2 linked regions of the Drosophila melanogaster genome follow. The protein of the gene in region 1 interacts with the protein of each later gene in a pairwise test. Each region holds a gene or a part of one and is shown in the gene's direction. Other genes may lie near its edges.

Region 1 (16,387 bases):
CCAGCTGCTCCTCCGGCTCCTGGGAGCGACGGGTTTGTGGGGGAGTGCTGTTGGCCGATCTTAATGCCGTTTGCCTAGTAACGAGATAATAATGTAGTGGCAAGAAGTTTCTAAGTTAAATGTATCCTTCTTACCTCATTGTTGATGTCGAAGACACCTTCCTGGATCTTCTCGTAAATCTCTTTGGCCGTATTTATGAACGCCTCCTCTACGTTGGCAGCTGTGCGCGCAGAAGTCTCCATGAAGACCAGTCCGTGCTCGCGGGCGAAGGCCTCGCCCTCCTCTTTCTTCACCTCACGCCGCGAATCCAAATCGCTCTTGTTGCCTATCAGCATAATGACCATGTTCGAGTTCGAGTGCTGACGCGCATCCTCCAGCCAGGTGGTCAGGTGGTTGAAGGTCTCCCGTCGCGTGATGTCGTACACCAGCAAGGCGCCAGCAGCTCCGCGGTAATAAGAGCGTGTGATAGATCTATTCAAGAAATATTTTGCGTCACAATACAGTTATATAAATGACAGTGCTTATATTATTTAATTATTAGTAACCCATTAAATTTCTGTCTGACGACTTCTATTTAATTTTAAGTAAAGTATAAAAAATTTATATCACAAAAAATTAAAAATGATAGAATTAAAACTTTTTTAAATAAACATCTATCAACAATGTGCCGAAATGAAGCAAATAAAATTTTTTGAATACAAATTATTAAGCCTTTTTACTAAAGGCTCTATATATATATATTATTATTATTTTGGATCATTAAGTAAGAATTTTATTCAAATTATTTTATTTAATATAAAAAACGAGCCGAATTATTATCCGCCTTGGACTTGGGGTTTTGGATACGAAATTTGCAAAAATTTATTCAGTTCAATTTTGGAAGTAATCTGAGCTTTCACTTATCCCTTCTTAAGTATTAACACTAAATGAACAGAAGTGGGTACCTGAAAGCCTCCTGCCCAGCCGTGTCCCAGATTTGAAGCTTGATCTGCTTGCCGTCGATGGTGATCATGCGTGCTCCGAACTCCACGCCAATGGTCAGGTCGTGCACCGGCTGGAATCGCTTGTCCGTGAACTGGAGCAGCAGACAGGACTTGCCCACGCCTGCGGAAACGGAAAAGGGTTAGTGGGCGAGCGGGGAAAAGGTGGGACAGGCTGGAAAATGCCAACAGCTGTTGGACATCCCGAAAAGCAGAGTGCTGATAAGCCCGTGGCTCTTTGGGGCGGAATCCCTCAATTACTGGGGGTGGTTGGGTGAGTCAGCAGCAGGGTTTATGTGTGGGCTGCTCCCCGCGCACCACTAACTCTGAGAGCAGCAAACGCCTGTATGCGTTGTTATGGTATTATTGATTTTTCCTTCGGCCCACCGACTCCAGGAATATTTTCCTGCCGACGCAATTTTGATCTCACGGTATCAATTTTTCACTTGAGACCACCTGAAACCCCCATTTTTTGATTTTCGGGTACGACCCCTACGCCTGCGATGCCCTTTGTTTTGTTGTGTTGTTTGCAATTACAGATTGTTTCCCTGACAATGGCCAACTTTTCACTGGCCATTCCGTTTCAAAGGAAGTCGCAGCTTGCACTCACCTGTGTCTCCGATAATGATGTATTTGAACAAGTACGCGTAGGACATGTTTTAAGCTGACGGGGGTTACGGTAAGCTAGTTTTTAGAAAGTACGATCTCGTAATGCCACAGATAATACGCAATTCTTGTACGTTTTCCAATCTGTTCGTATTTATGATGACTGGCTAGCGACAGTGTGGCCACTTTGTGGCCAGGGCTGGCGGAAATACCGAAATACCGCAAGGCTGCAATCGCCCTATCGATAACGATGCGCACTGCCGCTGGCCAATCGATAGGTATATGTATGTATGTAGAATTTGTCAGAAATTTTCTCGCACAAAGCAAAGTGTTTTGGAGGATAAACGCCAATTAATTGTCAAGCGATGTGCCAGCTCCTGTAGAATACACTCAGCATACTACGGTGCAGGGATCCCACATCCGGAGACTCCCGCGGGGCAGGGACCAGGCTAGCATTCAGTTTCTGCCAGTGATTTTCTCATCAAGGCGTAGGCACAGACGTTGTGGATCATCGCGTCTTCGAGCGGGTGAAACATGAAGATGGCTGACGGCTCGACCATATTGCGTAGGAACCGGCCAGGCACAAAATCCAAGGTGAGCGATGACATGGCGTCCGAACAACGATCCCGGCCCGGCCCGTCTGACCCGTTTTCCGTTTCGCCTTTCAGGACTTCTGTCGCTGGCCCGACGAGCCCCTGGAGGAGATGGACAGCACGCTGGCGGTGCAGCAGTACATACAGCAGCTGATTAAGCGCGACCCGAGCAACGTGGAACTCATACTGACCATGCCCGAAGCCCAGGATGAGGGCGTGTGGAAGTACGAGCACCTGCGCCAGTTCTGCATGGAGCTGAACGGCCTGGCAGTGCGGCTGCAGAAGGAGTGCTCGCCGTCGACGTGCACCCAGATGACAGCCACTGACCAGTGGATATTCCTGTGCGCCGCGCACAAGACGCCCAAGGAATGTCCGGCCATTGACTACACACGCCACACGCTGGACGGTGCCGCCTGTCTGCTAAACAGCAACAAGTACTTCCCTAGCAGGTATGCAGGCTTAGCGACATGGTTGAACTAGCCACATAATAAGCAAAGTGTCTCTCCCAGGGTGTCCATCAAGGAGTCGTCGGTAACCAAGCTGGGCTCCGTATGTCGGCGGGTGTATCGCATCTTCTCGCACGCCTACTTTCACCATCGTCGCATTTTCGACGAATTCGAGGCCGAGACGTATCTGTGCCACCGTTTCACGCATTTCGTCACAAAATATAATCTGATGTCGAAGGAGAATCTGATCGTGCCCATCAACGTGGGTGAAAACGCGGCCCCTGGCGAAAGCGAGGCTTAGGAGCCCGCCCAGATTAGTCAGACTCGCATGAAACACTCATTCAACATACATCTATTTATATTTACCAATAGCTTGCAAGTTGGGTTGGCTCACCCTGACAGGGAAACGATTCCACGCGGACCCGACTCTAATGCAGATCTTGTATGTAGTTTAGATGTCAGATACACATAGAGCTACATAACGATAACTAAGTAACAAGGGCAGACCCCCTCAAACCCGCTCGCCCCATCTGATCCTAAGTCAGCAATTATTTCGCAAGTTATATTACGATTATGTTTAACTCCTTATTTTAATAAATTATATGTAGGCACACGACCTTCTCGTGGCTGATTCCACGTCAAATCCCCGTAAACTAAACTAAATTCCCTTGACTACTGGCAGCCAAAACACCAACACAGCTGTACGTGACTAAAACGTGAACTTTACTATACAAAATTACTATATACACAACAGAAATTGCAATAAAAGAAGTACATACATAAACACACCAAGGGCAAGTACGATCCTCCTGTGATAAATTTGTCAAACGATATTCACTTCGTGCATAGGCTGTTGGTTTACAAGGCGTTCGAAGCCGAGGCGCGACAGATCCAGTGTGGTAAACTTGCCGTCCAAGATTAGTTCGGAAATGGCTCGACCCACGGCGGGAGTCTGCTGAATGCCGTGCCCACTGAAGCCTGCGGCAATGAAGAGATTGCTGTAGTGAGGATGCCTGCCGATGACGCCGTTTGCGTCAAATGTGTTGTGGTCATAGAAGCCCGCCCAGCTGCTCTGTATCTTCACAGACTCAAAAGCAGGAACTCGGTTCGCCAGTGTGGGCCAGACATCCGTTTCAAAGTACCCGTGGTCCACGTCCAGCGTTTCGCACTCCGGCTCCTCGTCTTCGTTTGGACTGCGGCCGCACAGGAAGTTGCCGCAAAGACCGTCCCGCCTGAAGTAGGTGCCATCGGGATCAACGGTCAGAGGTGTGGCTAGCCCAGGACAATTCTTACCCTGAGTGCTAACCACATAGACGTATCGCTTGCGAGGCTCCACCGGCAGGGCTACACTCAGGGAAGCCTCCTTTGCTTCCTTATCACCAATCCCTGCCAGACGCGCCACCTGACCCGAGTACGCTCCCGCTGCCAGAACGCACGTGTCAAACTTCACCGTGCGCTGCAACACATCTCCGGCGTCGACCACAGCTCCAGAAAGGCCGCCCGAATCGTTCCACTCAAAACCCACTACCGAACCGTTCGCGAAATTCGCCCCCAATGCACGGGCCTTCTTCTTGTAGCCCATGAGCAGGGCCCACGGATCAAACCATCCCTCCTTGTCAATCCCGTGGCATCCCAGCTCCACGCCCTCTGTGGACAACCACGGAAACCGCTGACGCAGTGCCTCCGGGCCTAGCAGCTCATTTCGGGCCCCCAGCTCGTTCTGTAGCTTTGAGTTCTTTGCTAGGATGTGGGCTCCCTTCTCGGAGGCAAGGATCAGGTAGCCGTTCGGCTGGTAGCACAGATCCACGTCGCCCAGATGCTCCCTGCCGTTAACCACGAAGTTGTATCCGAAGAGCGACATCTCTATGTTCTCGGCCAAAGAGAACTGCTGCCGCACTCCGCCTACAGAAAGCACTGTAGATGCGCTGGTGTACTGGAAAATTGTATAAAAATTGTTGTTATTCAATAGCGAATAAGTTTCAGTTAGATACCGAATAAATAATAATTTTTAATACAATAGGAAAAGTATTAAATTGGTAGATATTGGATATTGGATATATGATCAGAGCAAAGCAACTACATAATTATTTTTAACCGTTTTGAAACCAAAGGTTCAAACATTATTGGGGTAAATTTTGGATCCCTATACCTTAAAATTGAAGGTGTTCCTACAAAAATTGTAAGATATTGTTGATACTTTTTGAATAACTCTGTGTCGTATTTTAGGCCACCTTGTACTTACACCAGCATCGCGCTCCACCACCAGCACATTGAGCTTGCGGCCCAGCTGCAGGGCCCGGGACTTCAGCCAGAAAGCGGAGGAGGCGCCCATGCCACCGCCACCTATTATCAGGACTCCGCAGCTCCCGGGAAGGACATCGCCTTGCGGCTTGCCACTTAACGAGCGAAGCTGACGCAGTGCACCCAATCGCAGAACTCGTCGCAGGCCCAGCATTTTTCACACTAACCAGCACCGGCACCTGCACATTCGTGGGATGATAACGCCATTGAAATCCGCCAGATTAGATTTGTGCAGCTTTTCCTAAGTGCTTTGTGTGCACAGCAATGAATGCGGAATTACAGTAAAAGTTCCTTCGGCGGACTGATCTGCTAATTTGGGCTGGAAACATCCTTTTTCAATCATATCCCATGAGTAAAGGATTTAAACATCACATTCGACACAATTTTTATTTTGTAGTTCTTGATAAATAATTAAAATTTGGTTCAATCGCTGTGAATAAGAACAATCTAATTTTTCTGACCTAAAATATCAAATAAACGGTTTGTTCTGCATTGGTACTTACTGTCCACATTTAATAGATGCTTTAGCACACATTATCAGCTATATTTTAATTTCTGGGTATTGAATTTGTATTTGACAAACAACTAACACCAACTCACCGATTTCGAATTTCAACTGATAAGGGAACCCACAAAGTATTGTTTATTGTCCTAGGTATAGAAACTGTATAATATTATCTTAGCATAAGGCAGCATATTCGCTTCATTCCTTTTTAAACAACTTGGGGCCATTGACATACTAAGCTATAACGAAATCTTTGCAAAAATAAATTAACGAAATTACCGATATATATTTACATTTCTCTTCTTCTACTTGTACTTTATAATTGCTTATTAAACTTTCTAATTTAGATTACTTCACATTCGAATTAAAGAGCATCTACTGTAAGTTTGAGAAGAGTTCTATAAGAGTTCTATAAAGAAGAATTATACAAAGACCGCGCTTATCTTCGGAGAGCTAATCTTTTATTGCCCGCAATTGCGTTAATACCGCTGGTCTTTTGTGATAAATTGGGCTTTATTTGTACATCCTTACAAAGGGCAAATAAGAAAATCTTCGCATGGTCCGCTTATCTCAACCTTGACTCTAACTGGCGGGTAAATTCTCTTCAGCGGCAGGTTTTTCGGGTTGTTGGCCTGGTTTATTGCGTCCGGGTCTGGTCCGTTTGTTCGGCCGACCCCCACGCCCAGCCCCTGGTTTATGTGGCTGCTGCTGATGGCGGGGCTGGGAACGTGGATGTGGCTGTTGCTGTGCTCCTCCGCCATCCCAAAAATCAGTGGACGTATTTGGCTTTTGTAAGCTAATCGGAATATACTTTAACGCTACTGATGCATTTGATATTCCGTTCTAGCTTACCCATCTATAGTATCCGGCAGCTCGTCCAGACTCATGAGGATGTGCAGGGTGGGTATTTGGCGTGTGACTATAATCTCCTCCAGGCCTTCCATTTGCGGCTTCCAGTGCTCCTCCACACTTTGCGTAGTACATTATAAAAGTTATTGCACATTGGCTGCTTATTGCCGACTCACCTGGTGTAGGCCATGCGCGTCACCTGGTAGAGGGGGTGGCTCCGCTTGAGGACCTCGGCACAGGATATGGTCTTCACCACTCCTCCGCCGGATCCGCTCCACACCACGCATCTGTGCTCGCCCTTGTTCAGCGCCTCCTGAGCAAACTCAATCACATTGCTCACTTTGGTACCGCCTTTTACCTTCGCAAAATGGATGCTTTCAGGCAAGGATTTGAAACATTGTTAGTGCTACTCACATGCATCCACAAAAAATCCTTTTGGGACTTTGGCATGCAGTCCTCGAATGGCAGATCGCTCTTGCTCAGCTCCTTCTCCACATTCTCGGCCTTGCGGTAGTGCATCATTTTGAGGCCTTCCGTAAAATCTGCAAACAAGATTGTTTCACTCTTTCAGAAATATAATCTCGACGAAGCGCTTCAGCAACAACCTTGAACCTATAATGGCGGAAAAAAGAGCCCGGAGGTCCAGAATCTCGAGAACCAACTTAACAACCAACCACTCGTCGTAAACTGTCCGAAGCAGCTATTGCGACCATCGCAGTCCGTGGAAATTGAATAATTGCTTGGTTTATGAGCCGAGAGAGCAGGGACAGAACGGAAGAACCATTCTGCAATTCACCTACACCCTACACGTACGTCATGTTGCTCGAAAAAAGTTTTGAAAATCTTTGAAAACGATAAGGGTTCAATTAGGAATTTAAGCTTAAACACTTTATTTTAGGACTGTTCTAACATGAAAAATTTTAAATTTACAAAACAATATCGCATATTTGTTTCAAATGCAGATGGTTCGTATATGGTTGAAAAACTTGATTGAAGAAAACTTATTTTCCGAAATTAGTAATCAGGAGAATAATTGAAACGAAAAACATCAGTTTTCCCCAGAAGTAAGGCAAACCCAGGGACAAAACCATGATGCTCTGCACATTGATATAATTCATTTTGAGGAGGAGTTCAAGTAAAAGTCAATAAAAAACCATTTCTGCAGCAATTAAATGAGCGCGGATGCATGAGCGTTTTCGCAGCGTTTTCCCATTAAATAAAGCCCTTCTGGGATGGGGATGGGGATGGCGATGTGGCCAAAGGGAAAGGAGGTCACCGGGGGATGATAACCACAGGAGCATGATGCCACTTGTTGAAGCTAAGGCCGAACAACATTTCAGTGCCCGGAGATGGTTGCTGCAGCTGAATTCGACAGCAGCAATGAAAGTTTATTAATGAACTTTCATCCAACAACGACAAAAAAACGAACAGGATTCGTATGGCTGTGCGGGATGATGATGGCAAGTACATGGGGCCACGTGTCCCAGACAATTCTATGGCCCAGTGCAGCCGGATCCAAGGAGCCCGGGTTGGGAAAGGAAAACGGGCTGGAATTTTCCGAGAGGAATGCGTTGAAATTCCTTCGACTCCGCTCCTGCCTGCGCCTCTCTGCTCCGCCTGGGCCATCGTTGTCGTCATTTCCATCGTCATAATCATTTGGCATCGCCACCATCCCCATCAAGTACGTTCCGAACAATAATTCAATTTGGCGCGGAAGTTATTAATAAAACGATTCGCACCCCGGCCAAGAACAAGTGGGAAGTCGGGACGTGGGAAGCTGTCCTGTCAGTGTAATTTGTTGTGTGTTTATGACAACACGTTCTTTTAATTAACTCATCCATGGCGAAATTGAGTTGCACTTTAAGAGCAAATTAGGTTTGCTAATCATTTAACAATTCGAAACTCAATTTTCCACAGCTAAACGCAGCATCAAGCATACGCACCGTGCAACCACTCACATGGGCAACGGTGGTTATTTAATTTCTAGCTCGCCCATTCTATTCCCTGCATATCTTCACGCACAACGCAGGCGAATTTCGAGCCCCACTCCCACAGCTCACAGCTATGAATGAAGCGTCGCAAGAATTCCATTTATTTGCCATTTCAATCGCACCAACCAGCACCACCAGCACCCTCAGCCCTCATCCCTGGTCCGGCCCACTGAAGTATGCATTCATTAGACATGCCAGGGCAGCCGAAGGAGAAGCAGCAGCCACGGCAGCTACGACCGAGCTTAGCTTTTGGCCAGACCGCAGAGCAAGGATCAGTTTGGTTTTGCCAGTCGGGGCCAACGGTTCGTGGTCTCGAGTTCGAAACAAAATTCCCATTCGCCCATCGGAATTTGCTCAGCACAAGTAAGTGCCCCGGATCCGGAAGTCGATTCGATAATGGATAATGGTCAAACCATGCGGGAATTGTATACTTTACAAAGCCGTAAAACGTGCCTGAGGAACCGCAGTTTAATTACAAACAAAATTGATGTTTATGCTAAATACATGTGATTAAAGCAAGCAAAATTAGGGAACAACGCACTATATCGAGAAAAATAAATCTAAAATAGCGCCAATTTATAGTAAAGTTTACAAATCAGAATTGAATCAGCGGTTTCAAAAAAGCCACAAATAAAGCTCCAGCCGAAATAAATCAGATCCTATAAATAACATAGCAATGAAAACGGAATAAATTCTTGTTTGCCAACAAATTGTAATGAATTTTTGAAGAAAGTGGACTCTATACGAAAACCTGCCTGGGAAAAGATTTTCTTTGTTCTCAAAATTTTTAAAATCATTCTTGTTACTCCAGTTTCTGTTTTAAAAAATTACTCGGTCTACTCGAGAAAAGGAAAACCAATTCAAGGATCAAGGAAACACAACTTTAATAACAAATTTAATAACAAATGTGTTATCTTAAGATGTTATATTAACTGTGTGGACATCACCTTTTTTATTCAGATGGTTAATTTAACAATAATACAAATATGATACAAGCAAAAACAGCTTCAGTTATAAAATTCGTATTCGCGTAGTCGCTTAATACTTTTTTTTTTGACAGAACTTAAGGATATTAATTTAAACTTTATCAATGAGCGGACAAACATGTTTTTTTCTAACCAAAATGCTTGCAAAATGTAAAACTTTTTTTTTATACAAAAAAGTCAGAACGTATATATTATATACTCGTAACTACCATAGGAATAATTAGAGATAAAAATTAAAGAAAAATGTACCTTCGATGCTTTTGATCCCTTATCGGTACACGCCACTTTTGTGGGGTAATATATTATTTCAATTTTAATTTGCCTAAAATCAGACGACAATTATTATTATTTATATAGTAGGAACAGTCGGCAAGTTAATTGAAAATAATAGTTTCGTTGTTCCTAATTATAAAATGTTCTAGCTTGGTAAAAAACAGTTTTTTCAAAACTATTTATTTAGCTAGTTTCCTGTTTTGCTCTAATTTTCTTTTAAAACTTTGTCCAAGAATAAAAAAAAACATTTTTATATAAATACACAAAATAATACGAATAATATCCGGAAATCTGGAAATAACCGACTCCCCAAATTTTGGAAAATTTGTTCATTCAATAAAAATTGAATATAATTGCACGTACTGCCCCACTACGCTGATTCATTGTACAATTTTTAAACTTTTCATAATAAAGCTCACCGTGGGAGTAAAAGAAAACGGAAAAATAGGAAAACACTCAGAAAGGCGATTTGGAAAACCTACCGAAAATGGACAGCACCGAATTTCGAAAACGTGGCATGGAAATGGTGGAGTACATCTGCAACTATCTGGAAACGCTGAACGAGCGACGGGTCACGCCCAGCGTGGAGCCGGGATATTTGAGACACCTGTTGCCACGTAAGCCACAAAAATGACCGCAGAACCTGGTCAGTTTCTCCCTCACCACCCCTCTCGAACAGCTGAGGCACCGCAGGAGCCGGAGGACTGGGACCAGATCATGAGGGACGTGGAGGACAAGATCATGCCCGGCGTGACGCATTGGCAGCATCCTCGCTTCCACGCCTATTTTCCGGCGGGCAACTCGTTCCCCTCTATCCTGGGCGACATGTTGGGCGACGGGATCGGGTGCATCGGCTTCTCCTGGGCCGCCAGTCCCGCGTGCACCGAGCTGGAGACCATAGTGCTCGACTGGCTTGGCAAGGCCATCGGTCTGCCGGACCACTTTCTGGCCCTCAAGGAGGGCAGCACCGGAGGGGGAGTCATCCAGGTAACATAAATCTTTTATAGGACGACGGAACTTTCTTTGGTCCGGTACATAGATTATAAGAGTGAAGAAGGCCGACTTAGTTTGTAGTTTTTAAATATCTACATATAATATAACATGATTAACTCGTCCGTGTCTAACAATGGCTCATTTTGGCCACCAGACTTCCGCATCGGAGTGCGTACTGGTCACGATGCTTGCTGCCAGGGCACAGGCGCTCAAGAGGCTCAAGGCCCAGCACCCGTTTGTGGAGGAGGGTCACCTGCTGTCCAAGCTTATGGCCTACTGCTCCAAGGAGGCGCACAGCTGCGTGGAGAAAGCGGCGATGATCTGTTTCGTGAAGCTGCGCATTCTGGAGCCCGACGACGACGCCAGTCTGCGCGGCCAGACGATCTACGAGGCAATGGAGGAGGACGAACTGCAGGGTCTGGTGCCCTTCTTCGTCTCCACCACTCTGGGTACCACGGGCTCGTGTGCGTTCGACAATCTGCCAGAGATCGGCAAGCAGTTGCAGCGATTCCCGGGCGTTTGGCTGCACGTGGATGCCGCCTACGCGGGCAACAGCTTCATCTGCCCCGAGCTGAAGCCGCTCCTGAAGGTGAGTGGTATTCCCACGGCACGCATGGCCAATCTGACTGGATTTCATTCACAGGGCATCGAGTACGCCGACTCGTTCAACACCAATCCCAACAAATGGCTGCTGACGAACTTCGATTGCTCGACGCTGTGGGTGCGGGACCGCATCCGGCTGACTTCAGCCCTGGTGGTGGATCCGCTGTACCTGAAGCACGGCTACTCGGATGCGGCCATCGACTATCGTCATTGGGGAGTTCCACTCAGTCGGCGTTTTCGTTCGCTGAAGCTGTGGTATGTAGCATGTGCCATATGGGGTCCGAAAGCCCTCGATAGCCAACCAAGTGCGAATGGGTCTGTTGACTGTTGTCGACAATTGAATTGTTTTTGGATTGGAGTGGAGTGGCGTTAAGTATGCTGGCTTGTTTACTCAAATTATGCCCTCGTGTATTTGCTTGCGATTAGTTGTTAAAGCAAGGGTTTCGGTGCTCCGTGTGTGCCGAATCTATCCCGCAGATGAGATGAGTCCACATCGAAATATGACAACGCCAAACATACGTTTATTGCTAATTGTGACCACCCAAAAGAATATTATTTGCCCAATTCCACTCTGAGTTTGCCTGTAGAAAGACTTGTATGATTTCAGGTTCGTGCTGCGATCCTATGGGATTTCCGGGCTGCAGCATTATATACGTCACCATATCAAGCTGGCCAAGCGGTTCGAAGAGCTCGTGCTCAAAGATAAGCGCTTCGAGATCTGTAACCAAGTCAAGGTGAGACATATTTGCTTTCGTTTCGTTTTCTATATGTGTTTTAAGTTTTATTTTCAATCGATTCGGTTTATTTCGGTAATTAATCATGCTCAGAGTTCAAAGCTCTTTTGTACACCCCACGAAATGTGTGGGGTTTTCATTTGCCACGGGCAACCGGGTGGGAGTGCGGGTCCATTATGCGGACCAAGGGCCGAGCGCCCATGTAAGGTCCAAAAATAGTTGGGAAATGGATTGATTCGTGGGTAACGCAAGTGTCCGGAGCCCAAGCTCTGACCACGAAGACGTGAACTTGTTCACACCGCCTTGCAAACGAAGCAAACTAAGCAAACGTGCGCAACTACACGCCAAATTCCGCAAAGAAACGGGCGCAAAAATGGATTTCTTTTTCGACCCGACAATGGAAGTGTTTTGGCATAATTGCTATTGAAAATCATTTAGAGACAGCCACAAGTGATTCATCGAGTCAGCGACTGACACATGAACGTTCAAACTCGTTGAGCGTAAGCGTGGCCAAGTCAATTGGCCGATACGATTCGATTCGGTAGCGGATCTGCAGATAGTCACGTTGTAGTTTTCCAACTAATTACATATTTCGGGAGTAAAAATAAATCAAGCTAGCACATTGTTAGGATTTCTTTGTATCTTGCTAAACTTTCGCCAGATAACTGAAAATATTAAATATATACTTATGATTTAAATCGCTTATAAGCATAAACGATGGAGACAATCGCTTATAAGCATACACGATAGAGACTTCGGATCACGCTATTACTTTAGAAGTTTCAAATACCTTCATGTTTTGATTTTTAATTTTTAGTTTGGTTTTAGTCATTCGCCGCAGATTTGTGGAACCAAAATAAATAGTATTTGATTCCATTAGCTGGGCCTGGTCTGCTTTCGGCTGAAGGGTTCCGACAAGCTGAATGAGAAGCTGCTGAGCATAATCAACGAGTCCGGCAAGCTGCACATGGTTCCGGCCAGCGTGGGCGATCGCTACATCATCAGGTTCTGCGCCGTGGCCCAAAACGCGACCGCTGAGGACATTGACTACGCCTGGGACATCATCGTGGACTTTGCCAACGAGTTGCTGGAGAAGGAGCAGCACGATGAGCTGTCCGAGATCATGAACCGCAAGAAGCAGGACACGCTGGCCCAGAAGCGCTCATTCTTCGTGCGCATGGTCAGCGATCCGAAGATCTACAACCCGGCGATCAACAAGGCCGGCACTCCCAAGCTCTCAATGGAGCTGCCCTCGCCCGTTGTGAGCCGCGGCAGTGCCCCCATTATCCGGACCCAGAGTTCGGTGGACCACAACTCGTGGATATCCTGGCCGCTGGCATTCCTCTTCAACAGCAACAACGAGGAAAAGGGCAGTAACGTCTCGTTGCGGTGAGTCTTGTTCGAAAGTACTTGGAAAGTATTTTAAAAGACAAACAGTGAAGAGACAAACCACCGAGCTTAACGAATAATTTGTGTCCGCCACATCCTTTTCTTTCAGTTTCCGACACCTGGACACCAACGTACGACCATCGTCGTCGCGACGAAACTCCGGAGCCGGCTCGTCACCCTCTCCGGAAAACGAGTTGGACTACGTGAACGTCCAGCAGCAGCAGATGGAACAGCGATCGCCACGACGATCGCCCATGGCGGTGCGCAAGGCATCGTCCACGCGGGACAACCTCAACTAATAATATTCACTCCGTTTATGGAACAACTATAATACAGTATTAGCGCTTCCTTAGGTCAGGCGCCTAGTTGAATTCTAGACCAATCTACAATGCGGTGGCATGCCACAGTAAAAGGCTTTTTCTGAATTCCAATATTGAAACTTTATAGAATACTATGAGTGCCGTGGCGAAAATATCAAACGAACATCTTTCTTGTTTATGAATTGCAATAAATATTATTTCATAATAATATAATATAGTCATACAAGGCTGAAGTGATCGGTTGAACACTGCATGTCGTCAACCCATTAGCAAAATTTGTATTGATCTCTGTTTAATCAACATTGAAAGCAAAAATATGCTTAAGTACTAACAAATGGTAAACAGAAATATCCTGCTTTTCTTTGCTTTCTTGCGCAAGGTAAACAGAAGAAATCCAAATAATCATGGTGATGCCATTGATATGACGTACCATCATTGTCGATCGGCATGAAATCGGAAATGGAAACGTATAGATGTATTTACTGTGCACGGGCATGGATTCCAAATGGATTATGACTCATTGAACAGAACTCATATATTTTAAAACGTTTTATGAAGATGAGTGCATGTTTTTGGGAAGGAGAACCGCGGTTCTAAGAAACTGTCGGCTCTTTTCCTTTTTGAGTGGGTTCCTTGAAATCCAAATTGCGCCCGAACACTCTCACCAACTGGTTCAAATAGGCCTCCTTGTCCACGCTTGAGTAATGATCCAGTCGACCGTTTTTCATGTCCCAATTCAGATAGGTGGGCGCGCGCAACTTCGATTCCACGTTAGATGCCTCCGTTGCGGTCTTGCTCCTCTGGGTCTCCGCTGCTCTAAGTATGGGCAGATCAACTACGGATTTATGCAATAAATTTCGGGGAGCACTTTGCGCTGTATACGCATGCAACTCGATATGTTCTAAAGTCAGCGGCTTGTCTTCTTTGGGAGCCATCTGCACATTATCAAGTTTTTGGGTTGCTCCTGGAGGAGCTGGCGCTAGTTGATTTGGATGGGTTTCTAAATGCGAATTGGATTGCTGTGAGTAGTGTGGGCTCGTCTTTTCAATCATTCGCTGCAATATTTCATCATAACTTTGTGCTGACTTCCCTGGATCCTTGTCTATTGGATTTACTTTAATCTGCCTACGGTATCCTGGCTGATCCTGACCGGTACCTGCTACCTGCTGCAACTCTTCCAATCGCCGCTTCATTGCCAGCAGCTCTTGCTCCTGCTCACTTGACTTGGCCGTGGTCTTGGCCTTCGTTGCCTGGCCTTCGATGACTTTCAACTGCTCCAAACTAGAGAGCATTGTGCCCGTTGATAGCTGAAAGCCACGTTGATTCCTTGGGTAAGCTTTTGCCATTTCTTTGGGTCTTACATTGAAAGTGACCTCCTTTGTGTGATCCCGTTTAGCCCTTTTTATTCGTTGCATCAGGGCATCCAGGCTGTGCTTGATTCTTGACGCATCCTCGTAGTTTCTGGGCAGGAAACCTCGTTTTTTCAGATAGACAACTGGCGACTCCCAGTTCTTAATCAAATTCTGCACGACCTCATTATAGGCATGCAATGGGTCGTCTGTCAAATTAGCTGTGAGTCTTGACTTGGCGTTGGACTTTTGAAATACATTCATGGAGCTGAGCACGAAGACATACCTGTGCAGATTGATTGGTTAAGGGATGTTTAAGGAATAGTAGAAATGTGTAAAAATTCACCATAGAACAAATCGCATGGCAACTGCGAGTAAATGAATAATTGTTAATAAAATATATCGTTTATGGTTACGTTTTGAAAAATAGGGTTAGGCTATAGAGATGTAAGAGAACTGGTGGGCAAAAGGTCATCTTTCAAAGATTCTCCAGCCTTTTGTCAATAAAATCGTAACCTTAATAGCTCGAATCTATTACGCAAAATCACGAAATATTAACTTGGAAACAAGTTCGGATTCATTTAATTAAATCGCCAAATAACCTGAGCCATAATCTACTGGCGCCAATATATTGAAATTCAAAGTATCGTCTGTCAAAATCTTTGACACCCCCAAATCGAATAAACCAATAAATAAATACCGTACCCATAAATTAGTATGCCCCACCAGAATGAATGAAATGCCTAAGGTATGATCTGGCAAAATCCAAAACAAGCGAAATTGCCAAAAATAAACGAAAATAGAAGAGCCTCGGAGCACGAAATCTTCATATGCAGTATCCGTCAGCTATTGTCAAGCACGCGCACCATCAAATAAAAAACACATATATAATGCAAATTTTTGGAAAAATCTACAGGCAGCTCTCGAACAGACAGACAGAGGAGTCTGAACATCAATCTTCCATATCTCAAGCCTAATCACACTTTTTCACCTCAACCAACAGAAATCCCCTTTTGTAGATGCTGGATTCCTTTGAGCAAATGTAGCTGAACTCATTTAGAAAACATTGGTGATTCCCAAGATTGGGCGCTCTTTAAAACTTGTTCACACTGTCAGTAAATATTGAAATATGAAATAAAATATTTGAAATATAAATAGCATTGAAATAACATCCAAAATCTAAAGTCTTTACCAAATATCACACAATCGAAGTTAGCGATGCTCGACTGTATCGCGTCCTCATGGGAATTTTGATCGGTGTTTGGCAGTGCCAACTGCCATAATTAATGGTTAGACAACAAAAGCGTTAGCCGCGCTCCCAACACACATCCAAACACGCAGCCGGGTTGGAGCAGAAGCAGCATCAGAAGGCGGATGGATTCGATGGATGATGGCAATGGCCATCGAGCATTTCGATGTGTGACCGCGTAAACTGAATACGAACTTATATTTAGAAGCACGACGTCATC
Region 2 (17,053 bases), on another chromosome or scaffold:
TAACACATTTCATATTTCATATATCCCCAGATATCTTATAAGGTGTAATATGCGTTGACGTCTTCGGGATCCAAGGATATTGGCTGATTTTCTTCTCTGCCAAGGTGTGAATGGTATAGCCAGGAATGGTCAATATGGTCAAGATAATAACTTCAAAATTAAGAACAGCTAATATAAAATAAATGTAGTATTGTTGTACATCGATTGCTTACCCATTTCGGTAAGGAGTTGTCTCAAATGCATGGCGTTTGTACAGTCAACTTGCGTAAATGGGCCCGGCTTCATTCGATGTCAGTTTATAACGCACTCTCGAGCTTCAAAGTGAGCATTTGGCCATTAAATCAATTTACAACACATCACAGTCGCTAGGGTCATAAAAAATATATTGATTTTTATGAGTAAAAAAGGGGACTTAAGTTATCAATTGCACATTTTTAAAGAAAAGGGTTTCTTGTTGAACTACACAGCCTGTAGATACTTAGCGCAAAGTATAAAGAGTACCAAGATACAATGGTATAACATTAGCAAATTGAATTTTGTTTTTAATACATGTGCTAACTGTTGCAAATATGATATGTTTCAGTCATAGTTCTGTAATCGAATTAAAGTTTATTGTGTTCTTTTGAGTATTTCGAAAAAGTAGTTTCGAAACTAAAGTGACGGCATGAAGATCCATCTCATATTTGGTAGGACCTCAACCTTTTGGATTCAGATTAAAAATTTAATAATAGACCCGTAGTTATAGTATCTCTGGTATTGGCGAAAACCATTGCAGACGAATGCCTTACCTGTGACTGGAAAAGTAATATCCATTGTGGAAAGGTTGCTGATGGCTCATGTGTGTTTACTGCTCTGAATCGATGCCAAGTTGAAAGAATTTCATGCCGTCGAGAGCAAAAAAAGCTGAAACGTAAGTGGAATATATTAATGTAATTTCGCCTGCAGCAGTATAAATATTTATACACTTTCCCAGCATTCACCGAAATTGTTAAAGGAAAGTGCCCTAAGGACAAAGAAAAGTGCGCCAAGATGTAAAATAAAATCATGGTTCATTTCATCAATTAATATTTAATATTGTTTGAATCCAACAAATCTACTATATATGTTTTATAGTGCTCTCATTCTTGGGGCCGTCAGTTGTGCCACTTTTCGACCTTAGTTCTTCAAGCTCGGACTTTAGGTTTGTGTAACTATCAATGAGCCTGCGAACTCTTTGCCTCAGGTTGCTGCAATTCAGAGTTTGTTCCAACAATTGGGATTGCAATTTTAGGATAACCTCTTTCTGCAGAAAAATAATCCTTTTGAAGCGGTTCGTCCTTTCGTCATTTTTCATACAAAATTCTTTGGAGGTGATGTTTATATCCGATTTGCTATCCTGCAAGTGCATGCTTGCGGATTTTACTTCAACAGACAGATCGTTTAGTAATTTTATAACTTTTAAAATATAAATAGTTACCAGCGAGATTTTTAAACTTCGTTAAAATTGCATTGATGTCGTGCTTGTCTAAGCTGTTAACTAAATGGACATAAAACGTTGCTAAAGGAATGGTTAAATAGTGATTATTAATTTTTAGTTAAATATGTCTTATTTTACCACAAAGAATAAGTAAAATACATTTATAGTATGCATTCATTTCGATGTACTAGATCAAAATGCGACTAGTCGCTTTGGTTTGCTATTTGCAATGAATATTATTTCTAAATCTATTTCTTTACAGTAGTTAACTACTACACAGAAACAAGCAACTTAAATGTACTTTCATTTAAATTAGACAAGCCCTTGTAAGAGTAACGTTTTCCATCTTAGATTCACTCAATTGTGGAACCATAAAAACCTCGAAGAACAAGTCACTTAACAACGCGACCTATCGTTTTATGAGTAATAATTTGATTTGAAAAGTTATAGTTTTTCCCTTCACCTAAGCTTTCTACAACCTGATGCATTTACATATGAATGTGGCAAGGGATCTCGCCATATTGCCCACGCTCCTACTCTCCGTCAAAACAAATAACTTTTCCAATGATTGTATGGCTTTTACTGCTTTCCATATTCCGTGTGGAGTTGCGGAGTTTACTGAGCGCTGTGCGTTGCATTTCCAAGTTTATTAAAGAAACCTATACCCATAAGTTCTGGGCTCCAACGAAATATTTTCTTAGTAGAATTCATGGGCACTGACTTTCCCATGTAGTATAGACGGTTTTATGCCTCGATTGATTTGTAAATATTATGCGTTTCGAATGGAAATGTTTTTTTTGTGTAAATGAATCTTTCGATGGGCAAGGGGAATTCAGCAGTTTTTTTTAAATATATCTGCACATTAGTTGTAATCATATATAAGTTAAGTCTACTTTTCAAGTTTGAAATAGAATAAAAACTAGATTAATTGACAATTAATTAGGTATTATTTATATTTCACTCGGATTTTCAACTCCCTGCTTGTGTAAGCGACTCGAATGCGATAGAAATCGAAAGCTAATGTGCTATTTAAGGTGATTGTTAAAACCACATTAGTTAAACGTGAAAATACACCGCTGAATATTCGTTGCCTTTGGATGTTTGAAGCGCATTATTAAAAGCGTTCTTGGCCCACACCGAAAATTTCTGACTAAAAATACAAATATTTTATGTCCATAAACAGAAAATGTTTCGCATAATAAATCATCCAGCAATAATATATCATTTAAAATGTGAATCTGAATGCACAAAGCAAGCAACTAAAATGAAAATAAACAAGTCCACTTAAAGCGCGTTTGAACTAAAAGGTGTATGCAATATTTTACCTATAATATATATATAAAATTTAACGTTGGTAAAATAAACTTCTGTAACTTAATTATTATCATTATGAATTCAAGCCACTGCAAGTAATTCTCCGTTTAGCTGCTTCGCCCAGCAGAACTTGATATCGAAGTGGTTTCATCAAGAGGTCGGTAAATGAGTTATGAATCCTTGATATCCTTGACGCCTTTTCGCTTGACCTGGCGAAGGCGAGGCCACCTGGCTACGAAATGGCCAGGACATCGGCGGAAGTCCTCCCGCCCTTCCGTCCCTCGACCCGCACTCCAGGACTTGTCTCTGACCCAACTGCCGATGCCACCTGTTTGGGTCTGCAAGCTGTCGCCCCTCAGCTGCTGAAAGTTTGGTGTTTTATTCGGTTTCGGCTTTAATGAGGACCTCCGCTAAGCCGCTCGTGGCACTTGCCACTTGAGCAGACGCCGCAATCGGAAGTCCTTGTTTATGACATGGATACTGAAGCCAACGGCCAGCCAATATCAGCTGCTTTGCTAACCGAACTTGATTTATATCCACCAATTGAGACGATCTCGTTTGGGGTAAGTGATGTTTAGGCCTTAAACGGATAGCTCTTTACTCCGATGCCAACTAATTCGCTGTGCAATCATTTCGGTACAACCAAAGCGGCCTTAACAGGCTACCACCACTTAGTGGCAGGCCGTCTAAACAAATCATTTGAGCGCAAACTTCATCTCGGGTGCCTGCAACTTGATAGATGGCATGAATAGAGTAGCCCTCGCCTTGCGCTTCTCTGCCTCTTTTCGTTTTTTATTTATGGTTTACAGCTACTATTTATAGGAAATGTGCTCAGCACGCAAAAAGTCAGTCGGTGCTTTTTGCACCGAGGGGGAAGTCGGAATCGCAACCCACTTGACAGACTTCGCTGCCATCCGGAGCAGATGCTGATGCAGATGCAGATACAGTTGCAGATGCAGATACAGATACGGATACAAACCAACACAAGTGCAGCTCGAGGCGAGTGTGTTTGGGCGATCCGAGCTCCAACATTTTTGTTTACAATTGGAGCACGTCTGTTTTGGCTGCGGCAGCTGCTGACCATTAGCCATTAACTTGCAGCCGGCCGCGCTGAGTCCGCAATTGCAACTCCATGCGCGTACAGGCCGAATTACCAGGGCAGAACTCGAAAGATTTCTGTTTGTGTTTGGAAGATTGTTGCAAAACATTGTTTCATATTAAATATGATATGCTTTTGTTTTCAATTCCGTGGCATATAATTACAAGTTCGACGGCAAGGGCATCAAATATTTTACTTTAAGCTTTTTCGATGGGCCGTCATGAACAGTTTCGTAGGCTCTACTGTATTTGAGCTGAACAAACACTGTTACTTCTGTAACTGGAGCATACCTTCGCTGCGACTTCATCTTCATCTGGAGTCTGGTGGACTGGAGGAGAGCAGGGGACCTGCATCCGAGTCTGAGCTGCCCTCCCTCAAACTGGGCTGGTGTGTACTTTTCACACGGCTGTGTGAAAAGCGTGCTATGATACCATTTTCATGTCCGCACAGTGCTGCACAAATATTTAACCGTTGGTCAGAGGAATGCCACTTAGCTACAAGATGTAACTTTTTGTGCCCCGAGGACAAACTTTGATACCCTTCAGTCAGAACGGAGAATGTTCTAAGGAGCCAAGCAATTTGACTGGGCTTTATTAACACCTTCGAACAGATCTTTCGGCTTCAATGTGAATACAAAACCAGTATCAATTTGTTAAACGGCGACCTCTAATTAGGGCCTGATTCATGAATTCTTAATTGACCGCCCCGGGTCACATGCAAACATAACTTGCCGTGCTCCAACTAATTAAATTACTCTCAAAAAGCAAACAAATAAAATTGGTTCCGCATTTTTCGCTCAGATTTTCACAACTCTGCGAGTCCGTCGTCCATCAGCGACATCGACTCATCAAGTTCATCTATCAAAGTCTAATGAATTTTACTGGCGCATCAGTTGGTTGGTTTTTTCCTTCCTTTTCATTCGCAAATTATCGAGCAACAAAAAATCTGTTATTTATTTTTGTTTTTCGCTTCGCTGATGATAATTTCACTTTCATTAATAATTTTTGGACTTTTTGACTTTGTCATAATTAATTTTTAAACTTTTGCTTTTCTTTGTTGTTTCTGTGGGGTCTAAAAAACATCAAACCGAAGCAATCTACGACTTGCCGGAATGGAATATCTCGCCTGAATGTTGAACTTTCTTTCACCTTTTCAGTTTACATACTGCCAAAGTTCAGGGCTTATTTCCTGGATTTAGTTTCGCCAGACTTAAAGTTACAAAATCGATCCTGTTAATCGAATACTATAGAAGGAGTCTTAAGGTCTACCTATTAAAAATGCATCAGCTTCATATTGATTGTTGTGGAAACTGTTAAGGTAGTACAGTTTTTGAATTTTCTTGTTGTTTAGTAACTAAATAAACTACTAATGCCGTTCTAGCGTGAACACATATATACATACGATTACTAGCTAAAGTCTTCTGCTTTGAAAACTCCCTGATTTATTACAAGTCCGTAAACTCTAGCCGTGCCTCGCCCTTCAACTTTGGTCATTTATGTAGCTCTGCCCAAGCCCATCCGGCGTCGCTCGACCGCGAATCCCCATCCCCAGATTTCCATGAGGAAACCCACATGCCGGCAAAGTCTAAGTCTGATTGGAAACCAGTTTTCCTCTCTCCGAAAAGAGCGAGCCGCAGACAGAACTAGTTCGCCCGCTCACTCGCCCACGAAGCGCCAACCCACACCCCCAGTGGCTCCATTATGAACGATTTGCGTTTTCCCAAAATCCATTCACCTAACATTCATACTATTCACATGGTATCAGATCAGCTTGGCTCATTTCAAGTTGAATTAAAGTCCCCTGTAGAAGATAAGAAGAGAGAGAATTTTATAGTCAGCTTAAAAAAATTAAATATTAGTTATCAAATTATTAAATAACTTGCTAACTGCAAGTATCTGCGTTGCTTTCCGCTGATCAAGCTAGCTATAGTTTTTTTCTGAGTGCAGAGAGGCGAGAGCGCGAGAGCCAGCTCACACACACATACAAAACAGGTATCTGAATGCGACTCCTCTCAGCGGGTTAGACCTCGCAGACGCTAGCCGTGCGGCTTCAGTGCGTCTGTAAACACTGCCGAGTGCGGTACTCAATCTACATTAGCTCCGCTCGAAAATTTCCAATTCTTAGTGAACTGGCTAACGGTAGCGAGCCTATTCGAACGAAAGTGAATGTGCGTCCAGATCTAAAATAAAATTGGTACGAAAGCCAAAGGAATATACATATGTACAAAAAGTGAACAAATTCGGATAGAAACTCAAAGTGCAACGCTAAAATAAAAATCAGTGCAGCTGCTTCCTGAGTGCACCTGTTTCCCCAGCAGGGAGCACGTACGCATACGCACCTTTGGATACGCGAAGAAATGCGAAGTGGCGTAGAGTGCTTGATAACTTAATGCCAAGCAGCCAAAGGGCCCTAAAAGCGGCAGCCGAAGAAAAACGACGCGACCTTGTCTTGTCTTCGCACTCCGGACTTCTTATACCGCCATCCATCAAAGTCTCGGGCCTTAAGGTCTTGGGATTACACACAAATCACATTTGGATACTACAAATCATACGCTAGAAGGTAAGCGCCCGATCGCTGGTCCAGTTTTCGCTCTTCATCTAGAAAGTTTGATTGCTAGACGAGATCTAGTTCGGTCGATTGGGTTTCTTCTCGCCTTGGCGAAAGTCCAGAATTTTCACAGCCCACTCTCCTGCACTCAATTATCGAATTGCGCGATTAGATCCAGACAGTTTCGCTGGCCAGAGGAGTTGATTGAACCCGCAACGGTAACCAAGCTGTTGGCCAGTCACTTCCTCCATTCCCGAGGTCATCTAGGGGGATTACAATGCAAATACGGAATTGCTGAGCATCATTGTCCGGTTCTTGGCCTCCGACAAGTGTACATCCGTGGATCTGCAACTCGACAATTTGCTCAGCATTTTTTTGAATTTTTATGCAAATATTTCAAACTTCCATTAGAGGGCCACACAGGCGGACATAAGACCTTCCCAGCTATTTTGGAAATGCATAAACATTTCATGTAAATTTCTTGGTCGAGTGACTCTCTTAATTAGTCGAGTTGCTTTGTTGGCCGATTATGAATGACACAAACTTTGGGTCTCGACCAAACATTTGATTTGATGCATATCTTGTAGATTTCTGTGAGAAAATCCGTCTCTGTTGTTTCAAGCTCAGATGAATGATATCACTCAGTTCGGTAACAATGCTCATTGGGGATTTTCGATTAACAATGCCCCCCAATCGGATACACATGTGTATCATTTCATTTGTCTTTGCTGTGCTTATTGTCAAACTCCTTAATGTCAATTCCACATAATATCATCTAATGAGGAGTTGCAATAATAAGTTAGCATTGTCCACCAGACGGCGGTGTAACCATGATTACGAGTGGGGAAAATCCCGATGTCCAAAAGCGGTTGGTTTTGATTATAAAATTGCTAGCCTGAGGTGGTGGTTACCATCACTTTCTCGCAATTTTCAACGCAACCGCAGAAAAGTATTGATATCGAATTAATTTCCTGTCCTCTCGCACACAGGAGTATTCGGTCTGGAGCATTGTTTTCCTGTGGACACTGAGGGGCTAAAGATTTCACATACCAAGCACGTAGCCTCAGACCGTTTGGCCCAACTTGTTGTCTTTGTTAGGTTCTATTTGGCTAATTAAAAATCAGGAAATGCACGAGTACAATACGCCCCAGAGGGCTCAACGTGCTGCGATCCCATCCTGAATTTCAGAAGACTACGTGAGAGAGGGATTACCTTTTTGGGCCTACCTGCTCGTGTGCTACTGTCAAGTGCGGTTTCCTTCAGTTTAGCGCCTTCTGCTTCGATTTCGGAACAGGTAGTACCACCAAATCTGTGCTTAACAGAAGTATCTTGTATTGGGCTGGATACGTGAGCCATGAAAGGATATTCGCCTCATTTAGTCTTCACATTGCACACACGTAGTACTTGCGAGGGGCGTTTTAAAAGGAAGTAGTTCTATTGATTAATCGATGGCAGGAAGTCGAGGGTGGTCTGCATCAGGGATCGTTTATCTTTCGCTGGAGATCTTGGCACTAACATCTCAATTCGCTTTTATAGTTTTTAGCCATTTTCTATCATATTTGTATTTAAGAGCTCCATTCCAGTGAATGGTTGAACAAACCATTTTGTATAATTTCCTCGGTAATTTATGCGTGGCTTTATAGCTTGAGGAAGTTGCTTGACTTCCATATACAGTTATGTACATTCAAGTCTATTGTTTCTTCATCTAACCAAAGACACACCCGCACTGGCAATAAAAAGACAATAGCATTTGTCAATCGACATAAATGTGCGCTAACCGGATTTTTGCGTACATATATGTAAAAGTTCTACTCTAAATTATTCCGGCTATAAAATAAAACAATTTATTTTACTGCAATTTTCCTAAGCTATTTTATTTTATTTCACACCCGAAGTCGTACATTCTCTTGTTGATTCTTAAATTGATTTACAATTTATTCGAGCGTTGGCAACACAATTTGATGTTGGAGCTTAGCATTCCGAAATATTCAAAATTCAATTGAAATGAATGCTGGCCCGAATCGGGGGTTTTTTTCGGTTATATATTATGCACTGCAGCCTCGTTTAACGTTTCTCGCTAACTCGGCTAAATTACAGCGAAAATCGTACTGAGTCAGCGGCTTCAAAATGGTAAATTCAATAAACAAGTTCAGCAGCGAAATGAAAAAATAATATACGACTTCTTTAATATAAATGATGGCACAAAGTCAGCAAAAAACTGGAAGTTGGCGCTTTTACTCGTGGTTTTTCTCTCAGCCGCTCTCGGTTGATATTTTTTTTTGTTGACACTTCGTTTTGTTAACAATTAATTAACAAAAAACCAAGGTACACAAAGCCTGTTAACTGTTTGTTTGCGCACGGCAACCTGTGAGATATGGTGGCGTAAAACAATTATAACGCCTTATGGCATCTGGTTTTCTCTAGCACTACAATGTATAATTCGAAACGATTAGGCATTGGGGAATTTGTGTGTTAAGTGATTCCGTATTGATTTGGCTTTCAGCGAAACTATGTAGTATTAGTCATAAGAAGCAAATTTGCATTGTAAATGGGTTACTGCGAAAAGAGCTTAGAGATTAAGTTGTACTGATGATCAGTCTTCTTATGATAGGAACATCTTGTCTTGGGAAATACCTTTCACATTTTAGTAGATTGTCCTAGATTAATATCCCTTTATTACATTATATAAGCGCAGGTGTCTTCGCTGATCCCCATACTTTGCTTTACGAGCAGAAAAAGTTCATCTGGAACTTTCTTCTGTCCAATTGAGTTTCTTCACCTCGCTTTTATCACTTTTTCCAGCAGTTCAGATGATCCATTAGGGTCAAAAGCTGGGTAACCTTTCGCTATGAACCGAGCAAAACCTCGTAAAACTTTCATTAGGCCGTAAATCTAGCTGCGAAATGTATCTCACAGTGGCCATCTTATCGGCTGGGAAATCGTTCTCGCCACTGACTTTCCACCAACACGTGCCTCTGTAATCCGCCCACCTGAATTGGCGACCGATTCTCACGCCTAAAAAGAAAAGCAAACTTACCACTTCAGTTCGCATTTGTGGCTGTGGATGTTGGCCCAAACCGCAAGTGATTTTGTTGCTGTTGACTTTGCAGTGGCCGGATGGTTCTGCGCCTCCGATTCCCAGCAGCTATCCTGGGACAGGAATTTGCTGGCTCGGACTCGGGCTTAATGCACTGTGGGAATGCGGAATGTTGGGAGTCCCAACAGTTGATTGACTCACCACTGCTGTGGGGATTCATTAACTGACCCTGCAAATGCAGCTTTTACTCGCCTTTAAAACGCTCGTAACCCCTCGATTCCCAGCTGGTTTTGACTACCTGGTAATCAATATGCGTGTAGCACCCATTCGACGGGGGCAAAAAGAGCTAAAGGCCGGAAACTCGCTGGATTAAAGCAAGTGAGGATTATACAAAAAAACAAAAAAAAACTCTGTGCTGAGCCACTGCAAAAAAAGACCAAAAAGCTTGCCCACTTTGGAGCTCTATTTGAGCGTTATTAATATCCGCACATCAGTCAGCGGCACAGCGGCTAAATACAAACACTTGGCCCAAAAGAAATCCAGGGCCCAAAAACCAGAGCGCTCGTATATAAAAAAAAAAACAACTACATTCTTCACACAATTGCACTCTTTGCACATCTCCTTTATTCCCTTCCGCTGGCCATGATAAATTAACCAAGCTAAAGGCCGTTGTGCCGCTCCAGCTGGACACTTGGCCACTTGGCCACTGGACGGGTGACAAGTTGACGTCTTTGTTGGCACATCATGCGCTCCGCAGGGTCTGCTGCAGGAAGCTCCATCGGATTCCCTCCCAGGCGACTTAATTGTGCGTTTGCAAATTTGTGTGAGAATCGGATTGGGTAACACCGCTGAACCTTTTGTTTTTGCCCGCTCTCTCTCCTTTCGGCCCGATTTTTTGGCAGCTCACAGTTTTCATTGATTGGCAGCAGCGCCGTTTTGATTTGTGCTTCACTTGCGCACTGGCACTTTTGAGATATTAACTTGCTGATACAAAACGAAACCGTTTGGTGCCTTGAACCTCAGCTACTGCTCCACAATTGCAAGTGAATCATATGAGTGTATATATACTCATTGCGCTTATCTTGCATCGTCTGAACTCTGAAATAGGAACAAGGCCTGCTGCATTCGCTTTCCCCGTAAGATAAACCATATATCTCGGAGGGTTCTTAATATAGAGGGCTGCTTAATATTAAAGCAACTTAATCGACACTCTAATAAACAAAACGAGGGGAGCGAAGCGCAGAAGAAATATGGAAAATATTAATTGTCGGCGCTTAAGTGGAAGCCTTCTCCTCCTCCATCTCCTCCAGCTTTCATCATATTTATGGAATATGCAAGAAAGAGTGGCATCAAAAATAAGTATTCCAGCCCCCGGTTGAGCGATATTCTGGTCTTCCAGCTCATAACTTCATTAGGGCGAGGCATGGTTCTTCACGGAATTTCGGTTTCTTTTGTATCTTTTAAAGTGGGCGAGCTGCAGATGCATCTGTGGTGGTTTTTTAAGGCCAGCCGCATTTATTTAATGATTAGTTTGGGCCTGTTGTGACTGGGGGAAGGCATTCAAGTGTGGGACAGTAATTTGTGTATTATTTTTAGCTGATTTATCCGAAACAAATGCGCAATTTGTGTGGGGTTGTGTTTGAAATCCCACCGAAGACAATGCAACGACCTTGCCTTGGATCACAAACAACGATTTCCACTGCGAAAAGCGCTTTTGTCTAGAATGGAAATTGGAATGCAATTTGGAAAAGCGCGCTTTTTATCTAAATAAGCGGCACGAAAACATTTTGTCGGTAGAAATCCATGTTGGAATTATTTATTGACAACCGCAAAAACTGGTGTACAATACCTGGCAGGCTTCCAGGAAAAATTCAAATAAAAAAAAAATACCTCTGGCTTTTTGTAATTGTGTAAAACAGCCAAGGCGGAATAAAAAAAGAACCACGCGCTTTTGCTCTGAATTTATAATTTCCGCAGAGAGCTGAAAGCTTTATGATATTTTTTAGAGTTTACCCACTCGATTTACTTTTTTTTTTGGTATATTTTAAATTTATGAGGCGGCAAGCGTTTTCAGTTTGCAGAGCGTTTGACGGGCGAGAAAGTCCATAAAATATGACAGGATTTTAACAGATTTATGAATCGCTATTTCTTTTCAATGAGCAAACGAAAAAATGCAGTGAATTATTTAAAACAGCATATGGGGTTAATTCAGTTGATCAGTAGGAGAATGCATAATTTCGAACATTTTAATTAAATTGAACAATATGCCCAACCGACTGCCACCGACTATCCGATGCTCTTTTTTTGCCGCTTTAATGGTAAATTCATCTAGGCCTTAAATAATCGATCCTTTTATTAAAACTCATTTTGCATCTGCAGCGAATCGTCCTCGAATTACCTCTCATTATCAAGAGAAAACCATTTATTTCCGTTTTTATTGCCTTGCAATATTCATTCAAGTGCCGAATAATTCTGTTCTACGGCGAAAATAAATCACATTAATGCGGCGGTATGAAAAATGCATAATTGATTAATTAATTGAACAACAATTGAGTTTAATTGAATGTCAAATCGAGATTTCCTCGCCACGCTGTTTATTGTGGTTTTCCCCGGATTGGCGCGCTGTTTTATATCATAAGTGCCACTGCCTACATACATATAGTCGTCTATAGCTTCCGACATGGCCAGGAAGATGTCAGGGGCATGCCGCATTAACGGTTAATACATCATCGCCGCCTGAAAGCCAACATACTTGCACTAAATACCGGCGTGGCAACTTTTTTACCTTGCTGCATACGAGCGATGCCAAGTCATTTTCCAGGCGTAATAGCGACAAAATTGCCGAGGCCAATCACCTTCAGCCACTTGTCCCAGCAGCTGCAAGTTCGACTTCCACCTCTGGTACTAACTTGGCCGCTGGATGCGACTAACAGCAGCGAAGTGCCAAGTCAAAGACCGACGGCAAAAGCTCCAACCTGCCCAACTGACTAAGATCTGTCGTCGAGCGCGGCTCGTGCTGCAGCGGCTAAGTCAAAGCGTGACAAATAGCCGATGGATGGAGATGTTCACTTCAGTACTCCCCCTTTCCCCACCGACAGACGAACTTAGTCAGAGGTTTACTTAGTCATAGGTCTAGACTTTAGAGCTAGTAGCGTGCCTTATCGTGCTTATTGACACCGCATCAAGATGATCTCTATGATCGTTTTGCCACTATAAGCTTTTGGTATGTCATATGAAATCAGTTTGGTATCATACAACTTCAATTCGTTGCCATATTTTTGTGGTAACAGAAGTGAACGTTTCGTACATTTCCCTAGACTGTTGTGATATGAAAAACCTGAATTATAAGAATAATTAGCTTGTTATGGTTTCAATGTCAAGGGAACGAATTTCAACTTGTTGCTGGGGTAGCATTAAATTGGCATTTACCTGAGAACAAAAGCCGATGATAATCGACAACAGAGATACCACAACATGGGAACAAATGGGAAAAATGTTTATATAGTTTGAGTAGTCGCACAACTCGAACAGAATCCATTAACTGGCTAAGTTGGACCTAATTTGGCCACATCTCGGATTCTGTTCAGCACAAGTAGAAGAACTGCGTCAAACAAATTTCATGGGTAATTTCATTAGTACTTGGCTGGCAAAAATGTTGCTCGGTCCTTTTGGGAATTCGGAAAACAGAAAACCAGTTTAGTTTTGGCTAGCAGTTACCCAGAAAAGCTGGCAAAAAGTCTACTAACGCAGCTTATGACCGGAGCTCATTAAAATACTGGAAAACTTACTATTTGGTTAGTTCGGCCCTCGAGCAATTCCCGACTTCTGGTAATTTATGGCCCCATGAATAGAATAGTTACACAAAACACATTTTCTGGGCACCAGACACAATCAGCTTCCTGTATGGCGTGGCCCACAATAAATGGAATGTCTGCGCTACAGACTCGAATACAAAGGAATTCGACCACTCATGCCGACAAATTTGTTAAGTTGACAATATATCGCTTACCAAACAGTTTTTGAACGGATCGTAAATTTCACCCGATTCGCCAGTGGAAAAATGGGTATAAAAAACTATTCGTGGACTACTTTTTGTGGCCACGACAGGAAGTGCCCCCAAGTGAATCAAGTGTGAGAGCGACTAATTGATAACTAAGAAAGGAATGAAATGAAATGAAATTACATGAAAGGGAAAATGATTGGTCACAATCCCTCGAAATCAGGCACTGCAAACAAACCATTATGAATCTTGACTAATGCGCCAGTTCAGCCAGCTCAAGAAGTCAGACCTTATAGGCCCGACCTGTCGGCCCGATCGACCCACACTCTTATCGTGGGCGATGCATCAACCTGAGGCTCTGACAACTAAGACCCTTTACCTAGAAAGATAAGCACACCTCTTTTCACACCTCCGGCTCGGCTTCGTTTGTTTTTCGAATTGTGGGCGTTGGCCTGAGACAAAGGTCGCACAATGCGAACTAAACGAATCTCGTTAGCAGCATCTGACCTCCGAACTTTGGCCATTCCAAGGATCCCAGGGAAGGCATGCTGCCCGGTGATGGAGCTGGTCCACATTCGAACCGGAAACGGCATACGGATCCAAACAAAACCGAAATCTGGAACGATAAAATAGGCATTTGCCTGTGGCACTCATTCAAATGGCTCCACAATCAAAGTGGCCGCCGAACCGGATTTTTGAATGACGGGAAAAACATCATCGAGACTTCCACATTTCCCCTCTGCCGCATTTTCCACATGTTGTGCACATGCACACGCACATGCACATGCACACGGAGATGCACACAACAGCTACCTGCTATTCCTATTCCTGCTACCTCTGGAGAACTCAGCTCAACAAAGGCAGCTGGGACCTGTCTCATTTTCTCATAGCGAAATTCCCACACTGCGCCGTCGCATCGCTATCTATGGATATGGATGTGCATTTGGATGCAGCGAAGGACTGCAAGTCAGCTGCCGGCTCAGCTTCCATTCGCCGTATCAAGTGAATCTCATGGATGCGAGTTGGCGTGGCCAAAGCATATGTGCGTGGCGAGATTGTTTTGCCGATGTGGCTCAGAACGCCGCGGCGTTCCCTGCATGCTGCATGCTGTTTTCTTTTTGTTGTTGCTGATTTTCCCATATGGTTTTTCATAATGCAAACCCAGTGGCAGCTGTCGCGTGGCCCTGGGAAACTGGCCAGGGAAACAGTTGCAGGTTGCACTTTGCATGGCGGACAGCCGTCCGATTGATTAATGGTGTGGGAAATAAATGCTCTCGAACACAACAATATTTAAAAGCTTAAGGTTCAGTACGCTAGACATTTCATTTTACTCGTAAAATTAATGCAATGTTCTTAAGCTTTAAGGCGCACATTAAGTACTTGCCACGGCAACTTGCCACCCCTTGGCTTTCAAAAGGGACTGTCAGGAATTCAACAATCTCGAGGAATTCTAAACCGAAAACGTTTCCTTTTACCTTAAGCCAAATTCTACTTTAAACATTAAATTACAAGTCATTACATTCCCCATTTGAAATAGAACATATTTTATATAACACCGTGTAGTTTGTAATTTGATATTTATTTAGGAAATACTGTGCGCTTGCGAAAGTTCCTGTCTTTTGTTTTTGCACCGACCTATACTTATTGCACAAACTTTTTCAACTTATCCAGGGATTCACTAACCGACTGTATTTTCCCAATTTCCTTTTCGTTACAGGTAAGCGCAGCTGGCAGTGTATTTTTTTATAAGGCGGGAAAACTATTTATAAGGTAACTTGAGCTGTGCTTAGCTGGCTTAGCAACAGGCCACTTGCGGAATGCCTGAAATGACAAGACAAATGAAAATTAATAGCTGAGATGGCGCAGACGAGTCCGATTCCCTCTTCCCCAGCCCCCCAGTCACATATTCCCTATTCCCATTTTTTTTTCTTGCCCCAGATTTCGCCCTAACTTGGGTTTTGCCCGGCTCCTTTGGCGGCTTGTTTGCCTTTCAGCCGAGGCTTTTTCCCTTGTGTGCGCCGGGTTCTTTGTTGGTTTTGTTCGCGGGTCGGTCCAAAAATTATATGCAAACCTCTGCCCCTGCGAATGTATTTTCAAAACACAGCTATGTATACTCGTTTTGCGTAATGCGACAGCGGTTGAAAGCGCTGTCCTCCTTTTAATAGTCTTGAATTCCTGAGCAAATAATTTGACGGCAAATAGTGCCCGATGCCAATGGCCAGAGAAAAAAAACCCGAAAAGGGAGCCCAGCTAAAGTGACAGTGAGATGCGGTGGACAGGGGACAGGGGACAAGGGCATTCGAGGTATTTGTCTTTTAAAGATATCTTTCGGTCATGCCATAAAACCGAATGCCTTTAACTTTAATTAGATAATTTGACAAGATGAGCTGCTTGCACTAAAATCAAATGGGAAATTTGTGGTAAATGAGGCTAAATGGCAGCCAACGACACATTCGACTGGAATTCAATTGGGTCTTGAAGTTAGAAAAGCATTTCTCTCATTCAGTTTTCTAATAGCCTAAATTGCAGGTGGTTCCGCATTCCCTAATGGGAGAACTAACAGTTAAATATGTATATTCCCCGCCATTGGCGTCTAATTGAATTTCCGTACTTCACGTGGCACAATTAATGTTTACACTTCCTGTTTTCCACACGCACCGAATCTACCAAAAACATTGAGTAGGACGGAAAGGAAATGAGTGTCGGCCTCCATTTTCCCGGTCCAACCAGAACCTTAGTTTGTTTTCACGGCAGCGTGTGTCGGTGTTTGGCTAAAAATCTAAAAAAAAAAAACCTAACCACATGGTACAACATGATATTAATACTTGTCCTTCTGACTACTCTTTTAATGTTGACAAATCCAGGAGCTCTCAGCTAGATCGCATGTTGTTAAAGGATCCATCTTCGACCTCATCTAATATACAACTCACCCAGAAGTAAGATGTATCACTTTGCTTAAATTTTTCGCTTAGTGGCGAAAGAGTGGCGGAAGAAATGTAGGACTTTCTGGGTGTTGTGGCCGGAATGATGCAGCCACATTCACATCCTCATCCACAGTCACACCCTCACCCACACCAGTGACAATTGTTGGTACGTGCTGAAGGATACGTCAATTTGAGGAATTTTCGCATTCAGCAGAAAGGCAAAGGACGAGCCAGTACTATATATGGGATGTCTCCAGCAGAAGTGCCGACTCCGAGGAGTCCAATTATCCCGCCTCTGATTGCTGTACCAAATGTACAATCAAATCAGCATTTCCTCCAACCAGTTCGGTCCACAGTCGAGTAAATATAGACCACAAGACCACAATTTATATATACATATATCCAGCATTATTTAGCATAACGATGGAATTTGCTGTTTTTCCAAGCCGGCTACCGGATGTCAAATGCATTTCGAACCAGTTTCCAGCATAAGCGACGCAAAAACCATCGTCGTCGCAGCGGCAGCTATAAATCATATCGAAAAGAATTTATGCAGCAGGCAAATTCCTTCGCTTGCAACACGTTTCCACTCAACAGGTTGGATGCGAGCATCCAGCGGAAGTGGCTGGAAAACGCTTCGAGTCGCGCCTTCTATCCGCTCCTGTTCTGTCCCCAG

What was found.
Region 2: the proteins of Mob4 (region 1) and rau interact in a two-hybrid assay, tested with the Drosophila melanogaster proteins (2 studies listed by BioGRID).

What each region holds. Positions count from the first base shown.
Region 1 is NT_033778.4:6,682,133-6,698,519, reverse strand, and holds Mob4 (MOB kinase activator 4), read left to right. Parts: upstream 1-1,858; 5' UTR 1,859-2,120; coding exon 2,121-2,180; intron 2,181-2,254; coding exon 2,255-2,628; intron 2,629-2,676; coding exon 2,677-2,926; 3' UTR 2,927-3,406; downstream 3,407-16,387. Other genes in the region: Rab2, read right to left, coding at 1-74, 135-471, 945-1,104, 1,591-1,636; CG3270 (uncharacterized protein), read right to left, coding at 3,449-4,558, 4,868-5,080; Rpp25 (ribonuclease P/MRP subunit p25), read right to left, coding at 6,014-6,227, 6,284-6,400, 6,457-6,638, 6,695-6,802; Tdc2 (tyrosine decarboxylase 2), read left to right, coding at 10,018-10,147, 10,210-10,517, 10,678-11,112, 11,167-11,381, 11,734-11,860, 12,741-13,249, 13,359-13,548; CG15909 (uncharacterized protein), read right to left, coding at 14,163-15,204, 15,265-15,281.
Region 2 is NT_033779.5:5,868,363-5,885,415, reverse strand, and holds the start of rau (rau), read left to right. Parts: upstream 1-5,917; 5' UTR 5,918-6,428; intron 6,429-15,170; exon of another isoform or gene 15,171-15,223; intron 15,224-17,053. Other genes in the region: CG43185 (uncharacterized protein), read right to left, coding at 17-150, 213-243; Sfp26Ac (seminal fluid protein 26Ac), read left to right, coding at 665-686, 740-910, 974-1,035; CG44574 (uncharacterized protein), read right to left, coding at 1,097-1,401, 1,457-1,537, 1,595-1,634.